Notamacropus eugenii: one gene and its partner. The protein of the gene in region 2 purifies or fractionates together with the protein of the main gene of each other region. This does not show direct contact. Links are inferred from orthologs where the notes say so. Each region holds a gene or a part of one and is shown on either strand. Other genes may lie near its edges.

Evidence for each region. Proteins that work in one complex are often made in the same cells at the same time.
Region 1: the proteins of IRAK1 (region 2) and IRAK3 purify together in Homo sapiens (co-immunoprecipitation; 3 studies listed by BioGRID and IntAct, with this or other methods). This does not show direct contact. The link is inferred for Notamacropus eugenii from reciprocal best matches to the Homo sapiens genes IRAK1 and IRAK3.

The regions. Positions count from the first base shown.
Region 1 is NC_092874.1:243,146,171-243,153,175, reverse strand, and holds the start of IRAK3 (interleukin-1 receptor-associated kinase 3), read right to left. Parts: upstream 3,009-7,005; 5' UTR 2,864-3,008; coding exon 2,710-2,863; intron 1-2,709. UniProt on the Homo sapiens protein: Putative inactive protein kinase which regulates signaling downstream of immune receptors including IL1R and Toll-like receptors.
Region 2 is NC_092879.1:22,992,629-23,000,274, forward strand, and holds the start of IRAK1 (interleukin-1 receptor-associated kinase 1), read right to left. Parts: upstream 3,020-7,646; 5' UTR 2,876-3,019; coding exon 2,740-2,875; intron 1,028-2,739; coding exon 860-1,027; intron 340-859; coding exon 181-339; intron 1-180.

The DNA.
Region 1 (7,005 bases), on a different chromosome or scaffold from region 2:
GTGTTTCCTGTGTGTGTCTCTTCATTAACCCTGTTCTTTGTGCTGACTCCATGTGCAGTTATGGGAGAGTGTACTCCAGGTTTATAGAAGAATATTTTATTGTTATTGCTCTTCTGATGCCATCTCAGTGAATGCTTTTGCTTTGAGCTACTGGTTCTCTATCAGATGTAAGTGCACTGGTGGGGGCTCATAAGCAATGGGTTTTAAGAGTAAAGATCCACAGAATACCTTGAGGATAGTTACTCTCTTGGGGACCCAGCCCTCAAGAGTATATGGAAGGGTTACAGAAAAAACTGCTGCTTATTAAACTACTCATTGAGATAAAGGATGATTATATCCAAAAAAGGTAGAATAATGAGTGGGGTAGAGTAGAGAACACAGGACAAAGAATAAAGAAGTCTAAAGTTTGTCACCAACTAACTAACCATTGGGTAAGCTAAACAACTCAATCTTTACAGTCCCTTGTAGCTCTCAAACCCTGTGATTTCCTTTGCTTCACAAAGTCCAAAGATGTACTGGTAAATATTTAACAACTGGCTCTCCCGGGGGGTGGGGGTGGACAGAAATACATGCATGACACTTTCAAATTTAATCAGCATTTTTAACATTTTCTCCATTATTTTCTTAAGATTAGACAATGAAACAATAAATCAAGCCCTGATTTATAGGTATACTGATTTCTGAGGTTTAAAAGTTTATGCTGAAAATTTTACTACCAGCTCTTAAGAACTGATACAAGCTGGCTCAAGTAGATCCCTACAAAATTTCTACTTCAATAACTCATGATGGCATAGTGGTGATCCTAGGTTCTGGAAGGCTATATAAGGGAAATATAAGTTTTGAATAAAAGCCAGGATGCCTGTTATCTGAGAACTAGCCTGGCTAATTTCAGAGATACTTATTATCAGATGTTTAGTTAACAACAAACAAAAAATATTTGGATGCATCAACTCACAAAGATAACCTGTTAAGGTGTGGAAGGGGCTGGCTTCAACCTGTATTTATAGTGTCATTCCCATTACAGACGAAAACACAGATCCTTTGAAGTATTACTATTGAAATCCTTAGGTAGAAATATTGTCTAAGCTACTGTACACTATAGGAAGGAGATGGTAGACCAGGAAGGGAAAGAAAAGTCCCCATTTTCACTAGAAATCTGCCCACTTCGTAACTAACAAAAGATCCTTGTCTGAGATTTTTACTAGGAGACCCAGAATTTATACCTCTCTTCACCGAGTAGGCAACTTCTCCCTATGACTCATATCCATCTGTATATAAATTTATTTTGTATTATTTCAGATAAATCAAATATATACATATATCTACACATATATTTACTTTTAACTAATTAACTGGGGATACAATGACTGTCTATGCAAAGCAGAAACAACTATGGAGCCAAAAAAATACTATTAAAGGGAAAAAAATTTTTTTACCCATATTATCCACATTGACTAATCTACACATTCAGGTAATCAACTTTCCACATTTTCTTTAAAGCAAAGGGTAAAAAGATGAATTAATAAGATTGAAAAGTTAAAAGTCTTTCCATGAACTGAAACTTTCATTCTATCCTGGGATCATGGATGCCAGGGTGGAAGACATCCTAAAGGCCATGGAGCCTAATTTCTTCATCTTTCAGATGGAGAAACTAAGGCCTAGAGAGTTTTAATGATTTGACCACTGTCACACAAGTAAGTAAGTAGCAGAATGGGACTTTGATCTTATGTCCCCCTGGATAGTGCTCTTTTCACTATAACAAGGTGAATTGAGCACTTAGTAGCTGAAAGAAATACATTTAAGAAACGTTGAAAGCCTACGTACTTACAATTATAAGCATATTATAAAATACATAATTATATGTACATATAAAATTATGTAAGCAAATGTACAATTATAAAGTTTAAACATTTTAAACTTGCCAAAGGGAATTTAACTTGTAAGAGTTAGGTAGCACTGGAAACTTTAAAAGGGTAAAGGAATTTGGGAAGAAGAAAGCAAATTAGTATTATCTGTAAACCTTTTTTTCTGTTTTTGTTTTACTTTAGTGAATTGTATCCTTTTATTAATTAAATTATATTATTTGTTTTCAGTGTTCTACAATCACTTCCATATATCTTAGATTTTTTTCCCTCCCTCCTCCTTCTTCCACCCTTCCTCCTCATTCCTTCCCTGAGACGGTGTACAATCTTATATAGGTTCAACACATACATTCCTATTAAATACATTTTCACCTTAAGTCATGTTGCAAGGAAGAATTAAAATGAGTGGAAGAAACCATAAAAGTCTGTGAAACTCCTGCAAATAAGAGTGCACATAATGGAGAAAAAAATGAAAATAATGTTTTGAGGAAATTGTTCCTTCCGATTTAAAATATCACTTACTTATTTTGCCGGGATAGGGCAAGGCAAGAGAGTTTTAAAAAAAGCGTGCCTTCTGCCCACTTAGTTCCCAGAGACATCCCAAGGTTATTCTGACCCATGATAAAGGGATGAGCAGCTCTCCTAGGGAGTAGTTAAAGTTCTTTCAAAAGGCAAGAATGGGAGGCGATTTGGGTATAAATGAAACGGAATTCCGCCTCGCCTCACCTGCCCCCTCTCCGAGCCCCACCGCGCGGACGCGAGAGAGATCTCAGCCTCGGCCAATCCCCCTACTTCCCCAATTGCTTTCTAGCTGCCTGCGCCCGCGGGCCCCAGGTCCCTCACTTACCGAGTCCCCGCCAGCCCAGCGCTCCATCGCAGGAGTCCAGGATAGAGCAGAAGCTGCCCAGGAGCGAAGGAGGCAGATCGAACAGGGGCAGGCTGGCGGGGAAGGCTGCGGGCTCCCAGCGCCTTCTCCTCCCGTCCGCGGGAGCCCAAGCCATCTCTCCCCAGCGCCTGCTCACCGCTGCCTGCTGGTGCTTGGCTGACTAGGGGAAACAAGGGTGGAGAGGCAAGGGTTTCCTCCACCCCTCTCTCTAGGCGTTCTCTTTCACAACTGCGGAAATCCTCCTTGTGGCCATCACTCCCGTCGGAACAGCGAGGTACCTTTGCCAAGGCCAGAAGCTGGACCGACGTCCGCTCCATGACGCAAACTGGAGTTATTGCTCCATCTGAGCAGAGATTCCCAGCTGGAGAAACTCGCCCGACCTCTGAACTTCTGAGGACGGAACCAAACTTCCCTCCCGTCTTTCATTCATCTCCAGCCTGAGTTGGGAATTCTGGAGATTTTGTGTTGTGGTGGGGCGCGGACAGAAAAAGAACTAAAACTGGACCCAAAACATAATTGGAGAGTGGGGTTTAGATTTGATTAGACTTGACCACCAGACAGATGGCATTGGCCATATGCTCTGAATTTATGAAGAATCACAGATCTTAGCAGATCCCAGTGCTGGAAGGGACCACAAGAAATTAACCAGGTCCAGCCCCTACCCTCGCGCAATCACAACCCCCCCACCCCCACCCCCAGGTATAATTACCTCAGTTCTGAGGAGATGGGTTTGAATCCTTTTTTTGGAATGATGTCTGGCAAAAAAATAATTCAGAACTATTCAGCAATGGATTGGGTCCCTCCTGGCTCTAAATCTTATAATCCTCTCATCCTCTTTGCATTATTTAGTAACTTTTCATTATACTTCTCTACTTATTTTGCCCTTCCCTCCCAAAATTTAGTTAATCTAAATTTTCATGTAGATTAGTGATCAAACAAATTGATATGAACATTTTGCAGAAGAAATACAGATGACTGGGGCAGCTAGGTGGTGCAATGGATAGAAGACCGGCCCTGGAGTCAGGAGAATCCCAGTTCAAATGCAGCACTCCAACACTCCACACTTAATGGCTATGTGACCCTGGGCAAGTCATTTAACCCTGATTGCCTCCAAAACAAAAAATGCAGATGAATAACAATCATATAAAAATGCTCCAAATCACCAATACGGAAAATCATTCTGAGGTTTCACCTCAATTCCACTAAAATGTTAAAGATAAATTAGAATGTTAGCAGGGAAAGTAAGAAGACAGATTATTAATACATTGTTGGTGGAGTTGTGAATTGGTCCAACCATTCTAGAAATATTCGAGGAGGCGGAGGAAGTGTGATACCACTAAGGAGTACTTATTCTAAGGATAACAAAGACAGAGAGAAAAATCCTTGATATATTCATAGCAGCCCTTACTGTGGTAGCAAAAACAAAACAAAACAAAAAAACTTGAAACAAAGTGATGCCCATCAATTGGGGAATGGTTAGTTCTACGTACTGTGGTATGTGAATGTAGTGGATTCAAATTCAGTAAGAAATGAAAAACATGAGGAATTAAGAGAAACATAGGAAGACTTGTATGAACTGGTGTAAAGTGAAGAAAGTAGACCCAGAACACTAGACACAATGAGTGCAGTAATGTACATGATAACACTAATAGACAGCTGACCTATGATTAAAGCTTCATTGCTACAGAGCTAGCTTAGAGGTAATTTTGATCTAGCTTACTCATTTTACTGAGGAGGAAACTGAGCCAAGAAAATTGCAGTAATTTGCCCAAGGTTACAAAGATAGTAAATAGCCAAGCTGGGATGTAAATTGAGGTCCTTAGGCTAGAGAGTCAGTATTTTGCCCACTGAACCACATTGTCCTTCAGGTCTAGAGAATATTGTATCTTCTGAACTGATAGATTGGTTTCGTTTGTCAATTGGCTTTTCATTGCTTCAAGGCTCTTAGCACAGTGGTTGGCGCATAGTAGGTCCTTAATAAAGGTTTACTGACTGACTGACAAGGGAGGAATCAAAGGAAAGAAGGGATAAGCAATTATATGTATATTTATGTGTGTATGTACACACACACATACACAGATGTAGATATATACTTATACACACATTTTAAAAATCAAATCTTGTTTGAAAAAATTTGATTTCAACACCAAAAAGGATTACATCAGCACCCACTTTAAAAAAAAACACACACAAACTTTCATTTTTAAAGTACACAGTTCCTTTCCTCTAGAAGTTTAGCTTTGTGGTGGTGTTTGTTAAGAAATTTGAATGTGAGGTGGAGAAATTCTTACCAAAAGAATGTGGCTCAATTTATTTGCCAACAGTTCCTGAGTCAAGGACCTGTTGGCTTCAGGAAATGTTGGTCACTGTTCCTGGGCTCCTATTGCTGACTCTTTCGGGCAGGAGTTCTGGTTTCAGTAATGTTTGAAAAATGCTTACTTTCCTTCTTCTATAGGAGCTCTTTGCCCTTTGGCAGGCTATAAGCATAAATCTTTAAATAAAAAAAACACACTGTTTTCTTCTTCCCATGGATTCGGAAATTGTTTTCCCTACAAAGTGGATAAATCCCCCAAAGAAACCATTACTTCAAGAGGTGAACAAGGTCAGCCAGGCCTTGGAATGTAAGTAGGCCTGTCACATTACATAGCAAAAGCATACTGTAGACAAAACTGTTGACAATTATTTAGTAAATAGTTATACATGTGTAGTAGTTTCTTGATATGTTGGGTTTTTCTTTTGGGGAAGGGATTAGAACCTGGATATCTTTTATTGTTGTTGTTCTGTGCTCTTAAAAACAATCCTGAATCTCTACCCCCTCCCTCTCCCTCTCCCTTCTCTCCCTTTCCCTCTCTCTCTCTCTCTCTCTCTCCCAATCCCTCCCTCCTCCTTCTCTTCTCTCTTTCCCTTCCCTTCTTCTTCCCTGCCTCCTTCCTTTCCTCCCTGATACTGCCCCCCCTTCCCAATTGAAAACTGGTCTCCCTACTTTTTCTCTCACAAGATGCTCCATACCCGATTCTGTGCCTTTTCACTTGCATTTTCCCTATGCCCAGAATTCCCTCTTTCCTTATTTCCTCTTCCTTCTCCAGGCTTCTCTGACTTTCTTTAAAGGTCTCAACTAAAATGACACCTTTGCAAGAAGCTTTTCCCCACCCTTTTCAATGCTAGTGCCTTCTCTTAGAGATTATCTCCAGTTTGTACCTTTCTTCTGTTGACCTGAAAACTTGGTTAAGAAAGGCAACAGGCTAATTGCATACATTTTATGATTTAATTAATTAATTGGTCAATTCCCTATTAAAGAAAACAGTTACATAATGCATTATGGAGCCAGAAATGTTCTGGCTACCCAGTGCAGAAATCTTCTGGCTTATATACATTTTGCCATGAGAAAGGAACTCTCCTAGTTGAACAAATCATAAATTTAGTAAGACAAGACAATTAACAAAGTAATGTCAATCAAATGTTGAGATTCCAAGCTGGGTAAACATATGTCTCGGTGACAAGGAAGGAAATCCCACCACAGATAACTGACACAGGAAGGGGCAAACAATGTTCAATAGAAATTGTGACCTAAGATGTCTATATTTTCTTTACCATTATTCAAGATATGTCATAACATAGTATGTGTCTATAGATAATAAGATACAAAGGAAAGACCCATTATTCAAGATATGTCATAGGTTAAAGGTCTCCAAGGAATGCAGAGTCAGCTTTGGCTGGCTTTTGCTGACATAGGAAGAGGCATTCTCTGAGTTTGCTTCAGAGAGAACAAAGAGATTATTCCAAAATTTTATATTAAACATTATCACTTCTTTGTCCATAGTTGTTTACCTGTTGACTCCATTAGATAATAAATTCTTTGCCTTTTAAAAAAATCACCAGCATTGAGCACATAGTTGGCACTTAATAATGCTTGTTGATTTCACCTTGGGTCTTAAATAGTAGAGAACAACAAAAACCCTGTGAGGAAAAAAAAGTTTTTTTTTCAATTAAGAAAATGATAGAATTGCAAAATCTGATGGAGTTTCCAGTCTTCAGTCTCTTTACTATAAAATCTGAATCACTGACTACCTTTTTCTCCCTGAAATTCTCCTCTGTCTTGACCTCTGGGACAATGCATTATTTTGATTTTTTTTCCTATCTCTCTGGCCACCCATCTTGATTCCTTTCCTGGATCTTTTTCATATAGCCCCCTAACAGTGGGCAAGTTTTCTTCTCCTCGTACTCATTTCCCTAGGAGAATTTCAACTACTTTCATGT
Region 2 (7,646 bases):
TCCGAAAGGACCCCTCCTTTCCTTTTTCAGAAGGAGGCTTCACCCTAAGCTCATGATTTGAGACCCCTCCCCACCTGTCCACGACAGCTGGCCCAGGAGGTATTAAGGGGGGGTCAATGTTTCACCCCTTTCCTTCAAGAAACTCTGGATTCCCCCTCCCCAAATACAGTGCCCCATTACCTGGGGAAAGGAAGGTCGAGGCAGACTGTGGCACCTTGGGAGGTCTGACTCCCTCTTCCTTATGGACGCTAGTGGGCTTTGGGTGAGGAGGGGGCCATGGAGGGGTGGGTGTGCACATTAATGAGGCAGCAGGGGGCAATGATGGGGGTTCAGGATTCCCTAAAAGTATAGGGAAGGAAGGAAAAGACACAAAGATACTGTTAAAAAAGCAAGAATGATAGCAGGGAATGATATGGGGTATGTGGGGGAGATAACATGCTTTCCTCCTGCACTCCATCACCTTCTTGGGGCCAAGGGGAAAGACACAGACCTGCCTCCCTTTACAAGGGTGGGGTGAGGGAAATCCTCTCTCCGGGGGGTGGATGCTATTTCTAGGAGCCCAGCTGGGGCCTGGTTGGGGTGTGGGAGGCAGGGGGAAAGTCCCTTGGACTTTAGGGCCCAGGACTGGGGTTAGTTCTTTGAATTGAAACTCAGCCTTCTTTGTTGCTGAAGCCTCCCCAATCCAACTATTCTTCCTCAAGTTCCCCTAGGACAGGGGGAGCTCTAGGGGATAGCTGGGGACTTGAAGGAAGGGAGGGGTTTTGTTTGGGCACTGACAGATGACACTTACAAGTAGACGTGGGGTTGGGTATATGTATGTGGGGAGATTGGGGGATTAGGGTTTGAAGGGAAGGCTCACAACTGGTGATGATGTCTCGGGCTCGAAGCAGTTGTAGGTGAGTGAGGATATGAAGGAGGTCAGCAACCCGTGCGTTTTTGTTAATCCAAGGCCACATGATCCTGGCTGTTCGATCATGAAAACGCTCCCCCAGCCGTAGTTCTGTCTGGTCCTGAACAATGAGGGATGCTGACAAGCAAGAAAACGGGTCACCTCCACACAGTCTAGTCAAAGCTGTCCTTGGGCCATCTTGTCAAGGACAGAAGCAGGTTGGGGCTTGGCTGTTGGCTTTGGTGACATCCCACCAGGCCTTCCCCAGCCCTCGCTCTGACCACAATCCCTGCTGTGGCATGAAGCCAGTGCTGGCCCTGTCCTAAGTCACTCACACCTTGCATCTGCCCATGGACAAGGAACCCTGAGTTTTGAGTCACAGGACTGGAGTTCTAATACTGGCTCTGCCACTAACTTCACTGTGTGACCACGGGCAAGTCACTTCACCTTTTCTGAGCCTCAGTTTCCTCATTGAAAAATGAGGGAGCTGGACTAAATAATCACTAGTCTCTTTCAGTTCTCAATCCCATTTGTTCCCATAGCCCCAAATCACCTGCAAGAAAGAATTTGAAAAGCTTCTGGGAACAAATTGGTTGGTGGGAGGGAGAATAGGCCAAAGTGGCTTCCTTGGCCTGATTGCTTCCCCAGTAGGTTCTTTTCTGCCTTCTTGCCATCTCCCTCTCAGTTTCTGGCTATCTTTACTCTCCTCACATTGAATATTGGCCCTTTTTCCTCTTGACCTCACTCTTGGTGGCAAGGTGTTGGGGTGGGGGCAAGAGAAGAGCCTGATATTGTCCTTTTGGACTATACAAACCCTCTTGCACGGTCCTAGTTTAGAGTGGGGGAATAGATGGGGGAGGGCAAAGGGAAGCTTTCCTTTTTCTGCAAGGACCTACAGTTATTAAGTTTAGGGTTCATGAATTTACCAACAAGAAAGTGGTAGCCTCTGGGCAGCCAATCTCTAGAGGTCCTGAGCTTGAATTGCTTTCCTACCTGTCCCTCTGGGAAAGTGGCCCCTTCTGGGTTACCTCTCTAGGTCTCAGTTTCCCCCGCTGTCAGGTGAGAGGCTTAGATTAGATGATCTCTAAGAAAAATGATGGAGTATTGGATAGGGTGCTGGACTTGGGGTCTGGAAGACCTGATGGAATTCACACACTTAGTAGTTGTAAGACCTTAGGCAAGTCACTTAATGCCTCTCAGACTCAGTTTCCTCATTTTGTATTTGTTGCTGGGGACAATTGGGAGCCCCTGGAGTTTATTTCAGGGAGTGGGGGGTGGAAATGTGTGTGTGTGTGTGTGACATAATAAGACCTGAACTTTATAGGAAAATCACTTTGGTGCCTGAATGGATGGTGGACTGAGGTGGGGACAGGCTTGAGGCAGGCAGATCCCCTTGCCCCTCTACTCCCCTGCCTCCCCAGCAGTTATTACAATAGTCCAGGAGTGAGGGAAAGAGGGCCTGCATCTGGAGTGGGGGTAGTGTCAGGAGAGACAGTGGGGTCAACCCTCTATCCTACGCTCTTGAGGTGTCTCATGATTCTCCCTATCTCGTCTCCCTGGTACGCCGATCACACAGAGGGCACGGGTGGCCTGGGACAGAAAGGAAGGTGGCTAACGGGGGGGAGCGGCAGCCCCAAGGTTGACGACCAGGGGCGGAAGCAGATGGAAGGGGTTCCCCGGAGCGCACGGGCCATTCTCAGCCTTCGGGCCCTTTCCTATCCCGGTGCCCAGGGCTGGGCTGGGGGAGGGGGGCCCCAGCTTCCCGCCCGGGGCCACTTCCCCTCTCCTTCGGGCTGGCCCGCGGCCCCAGCGCGACTCCCTGGCCATGCCCCCTTCCCCCGCCTCCTCACCGAACTTGTACCAGTCGGTCGACTCCAGGGAATCCATCACTTGGTAGAAGCGACACATGATCCAGGCCGGCACCTCGTATACGAAACGCTGGGAAACGGAATCCCCAGATCTCCTCGGGCCCGCCCCCTCGGCCATGATCCTCCCGCGCGGCCGGCGCCTCCTAGCCCGCCGACGCCGAGGCCAAGGCCAAGGCCAAGACGAAGGCGAAGGCTGGCCAACAAGCGAGCGAGCCCCGGGGCTCCAGAACCAGGCCGGGCCAGGCGAGCCTATGAAAAATGAGTCACTTCCCCTTTAAATGGATCCCTTTAAACGTCCTGATGCTGGCGGGGGCGGGGATGAGGAGAGGAGGAGGAAAAGGCTGCCCCCTCTCGCTCCCGCCTTCCTCTGGGGCCGCCACGTCGGGCGAGGCTGGGGGGCGGGGCGAACGGTGGGGACGTCTGCTGGGCGTGGCCTGGGGAAAATGCCTGCCCTTTTTCTCTTCCTCCACTCCTCCCCCTTCCCTCTCTTCCCCCTCCTTTGGAGCCCGGAAAGGTTGGAAGTCTTCCAGCCGCCTTCCGGCCTCAGGCATCCCGGCCAATGGCTGAGGCGGGTCAGCCTAGGGGAATCCTGCTTGCCATCTAATGCCGCCAGGAGGAGGGCACGATTGCATGGGCCAGTGGAAAGTGAACTAGCCAGAGTTGGCCTCTAGGGTCTGGCTCTGCGACTAACTTGCTGTGTGGTCTTGGGCAAGTCCCTTGCCTCTCTGGCCTCAGTTCTGTTTCTGTAAAATGAGAGAGTTGGCATCAGTCACCCACCCGCCAGAGAGGTGATGATCTTGAAACGCAGAGCAGCATTTCGGGGCATGGCCAATGTGGGAATTACTTCTACTGGAACACACATATTTATGATGTTTTTTATTTTTTTTATTCAATGGAGAGGCAGTGGGAGGGGGGAGCTTTGCATCATTCTTTAAAAATAAGAGGATTAGGTTAGATCACAGACTCTTAAACATAGACCCCTTCTTAGAATCCTATTCTTAAATTGCATAAAATAAAATCCATAGGAATTACAAAGGAACCTGATTATACTGAAATGCAATCATCAGTATATTAAAAAAAAAATAAACTCACCTAGTTAACTCATAGACTCCAATTTAAGAACACCTGGAGCTGTTTCCTGTGCCTTTTATATTTATGACATTTTGGAACTATGTGCTCCCAACTCTGCTGATGTAGGATGCTGGGACCACACAGGACCTGGCCACAGGTAGCAGAGGCCAATCACTACCATGCATTGAATATGAGACGATGTACATTGTTATCTCTGTATGAATGGGTCTGAAGCCTTGAGATGTTCAGTAAAAAGAGCACAGACTTTTTAAAGTCAAAGGGTCCAGGTTCAAAAATTCCACCTGGTGTTTTATTTCCCCTGTCTTTGTTTCTTTCATTTGTAAAACAAGTGAGATAGGGAAGTTTGGGAGACCCCAAATCTAAGGTGAGAGAAGGCCTGGAATTGTAAGGGGATCTCTCACCATCCCATCAGCCCTAAGGGCTTAGCCTGAGGGTAGAGGAGCTTGGTATCTGCCCCCATCAAGTGACATTCCCTAATCCACTAGGATCCAGGCCCTGTTGGGTATGTTGTAGGGAGGGGGCTGCTGTTAGAGACAAGTGAGAGAATTCCTTTCCCCCCTCCATTTCTCTCAGAAATCTTTCGGTCAACAGGGGAAACAATTTACTGGATTCCAAAAGCATTTTATGCTGGGGTAAGGCGAGAGGGAGAACATTTAATCCTAACTTTCAAAAAAATAAAAATATTCAAGTCATCTAACTTCAGTGGCAACTCAAGGCTCTCCACTATCTGGTCCAAATGTACGTTTCCATCCTTAACCTGTGCTGAATGTTGGACCTGGAGTCAGAAAATCTAGATGTGACCTAGCTCTGGCTCTTACTAGCCATGTGACCTTGGTCAATTCAGCTCTAATTTGCCCATTTGTAAATGGAGAGGGTGTATCCTCTGCTTTGGCTACGCCATTCAGTCTTTGTCCCCACATAAACAGTCATTCTCACCTGGTTCCTAGCTACCCACCCTGTCCCCCATCCTCTCCTCTTATAGACTCTTCCAGAAAGATATCCACTTCACTTCAGCCTCAAAGCCTCATGGTCTGTGCTGTTCATCAGCTCCTAGGGGACAGGGTCCCACCATTTTGGGGTGTGGTCTCCTCTCCCCTCCAACCCTTTTGGATCCAGAGCAAGTCACAAGGGAGGGAAAAGCTAGGTGAAGAAGGGCCAAAAGGACCTACTAGAATGAGTTTGGGAAGGGGGTCAGAATTGGCAATCTCAGGATTAGGGTCAGGCTGAGGCTACCCATTGCCTGCTCCAGCAAGGGGGAGAAGCAGCTTACCAGTGTGGTTCAGCTGACAACTAGGTCAAACAACCACAGCACAAGCTAGAGTCGGGGAGGGTAGGGGCAGGCAGCACCCAGGTCAAGAAACCATTCCCTGTGTGTTAGGTAAAAGAAAGGTGACTAGGAAGGGCACCTAGCACCTTGGCCCATAAAAGTAAATAGTGGGACCCATTAAAGTGGCCCCAACCCCTTAAATCGCCCAGCAGGTTCACTCAGTGGGCCAAAGTTGATCTTTCCGGCAGGAAGGACAGTAGGGTGGGAGGGGGAAAACCTAAGGTGGTTGAATTAATTGTAAAAGGGCTAGGGGAGTAGGAGGAACAGGAAATTACTGAGGAGATAATGGAAAAGAGGACAAGGGGGGGGGGGGCTGGGGCGGGGCCCAGGGACTGACTACTAGGCCCTTACAGAAGGAGGAGGACCAAAGCAAATAGAGGAGGTGAAGGCAAAGACCCCAAACTCTCCCTCCTTGCTGAGCCTCAGTTTCTGAATCTGTAAAAAAGGGATAATCATAGCACTTACCTCCCAGGATCATTGTGCCATTCAAATGAGATGATGTCAGTAAAATGCTTGGCAAATCTAAAAGCACCAAGCACTGTGAGGTAGCAGAACAGAAACTCCTCCAGACGCAGCTCCATTAGAATGGCAAAGCTCCTGGAGGGCAGAGAATATGGGGCTTTGAGCTATGTTATGCCCAGTTCTAGGGACAGAACCTCAAACGTTTGGGATGGCAGGCTTGCAATGTCATTGGTATAAAAAACACTTATCAATGAATCAGCAAGCATTTAAGTGATTACTCTGTGCCAGACCCTGTGATAAGCTGAGGATGTGAAGAAACACCATGGACAGTCCTCGTTTTCCAGAAGTGTATATTCTAATGGGGCACACAAAACACACATACTGAGGTACATATGGGGCAGATGGCAGGTGATCTCAGAGGGGAAGGCCTCACTTGAACCCAGTCTTGAGGAAAGCCAGGGATTACAATAGGAGATGGAGCATGTGTGAGAAAGTCAGTTTGGGAGCAGTGATGAGGGCAGTGACAGGCACCTGCTCAGCCATTGCTGGTGTTAGGGGGCTGCTGGGGACACTGAGAGGCTGAGACTTGCCCTCCAGTGACACATTTGGTCTTGAAACCTGGTTTTCTTGACACCTTCTTACCCCCCCCCCCATCCACTACACTATACTACCTGGTGCTTGTTGACAAAGCTGCAAAGCTTTGCTCACTCTCAGGAATAGCAAAGAGAAGGTGTTAAAGATGCGTTTCTTTTAGGCTCTAACTACTTCTTTCTCTTCCAGCTCTCAGTACCTCTTTCCTTTCTAATGGCAGCAGAGGCTAACCTTATGGCAAAATACCTCACTGCACCCACATGGGGTCTGACATGTTTCTGTTCATTTTCTCTTGAAAAGACTGTGTGCTTTTATATGTAATGCATGTGTGTAACAAGGGAGAACACATCCCCACACTCAACACACTGTCCCCTTTCTGCTTATCCCCTGGATTCCATTACATTCCCCTTCTCCTCAGAGATGGCCCTTTTGGTCATGCCTTCATTTTTGAATTCTCCTTATCCACTGGTTCCTTCCCTATGAAATATGCCTAGATGATCCCCTTTCTTAAAAACAAACAAACAAAAAAACCCAAACCAAAATCTCCAAACCCTTCACTTAGTAACAATTGAATTGTAAAGGCAAACTGCTGTGAATGACTCCAGAACCCTGGTCAGTACGACCAAACCACACAATTCCAGAGGATAGGTGATATAGCATGTTACCCAGTTCCAGACACACAGGTGACGGACTTAGGGGACAGGGTGAGACAGATTTTTTTGGACATAGCCAACACAGAGATTTGTTTTGTTTCACTATGCAAATTTGTCACAAGGATTTTATTTTTCCTTCTTTTTCGTTGGGGAGGGGAAGAAGGGAAGGAGAGGTAGGGTTTTGCTCATCGAAAAAAAAATTTATTATTAAAAAATAACCTTTTACTTAATCTTACTATCCCTTTAAACTATCATTCTATCTCTCTCCCAGCCGGCTCCTAAAAAAGGCAGTCCATACTCAGCCTCCTAGCTGTTTTCCATGCCTTGTAAGTTTCTCTTTCTCCTCTCCACTTGACTTCCTTCAGATCTCAGCTAAAGTCCTACTTTCTGCTGAAGTTCTTCCCAGTCCTCCTTAATCTGCGTGCTTTCCCTTTCAGACTCCCCCCATTTATCCTGTATTTGTCTGGTTCGGATGTACTGTAGCTCCTTATATGTTGTCTCCCCCATTAGACTGGGTGCTCCTTGAGGGTAGAGGCTGGATTTTTTTTTGGGGGGGTCTTTCTTCATGTCCCCAGCATGTAGCACAATACCTGGCAGGCTGTAGATGCCACTACATGTTAACTGATGGACTTTTCCTCCATCTTTTCATTTCCTACCTGCTTCTGAACCCTTTGCATTCTGGCTTCCCTTTTTCTCACTCACCTGCTTCAAGGTTACCAGTGATCTCTTAATCGGCAAATCCTCAGTTCCTAGCCTTCTTAACG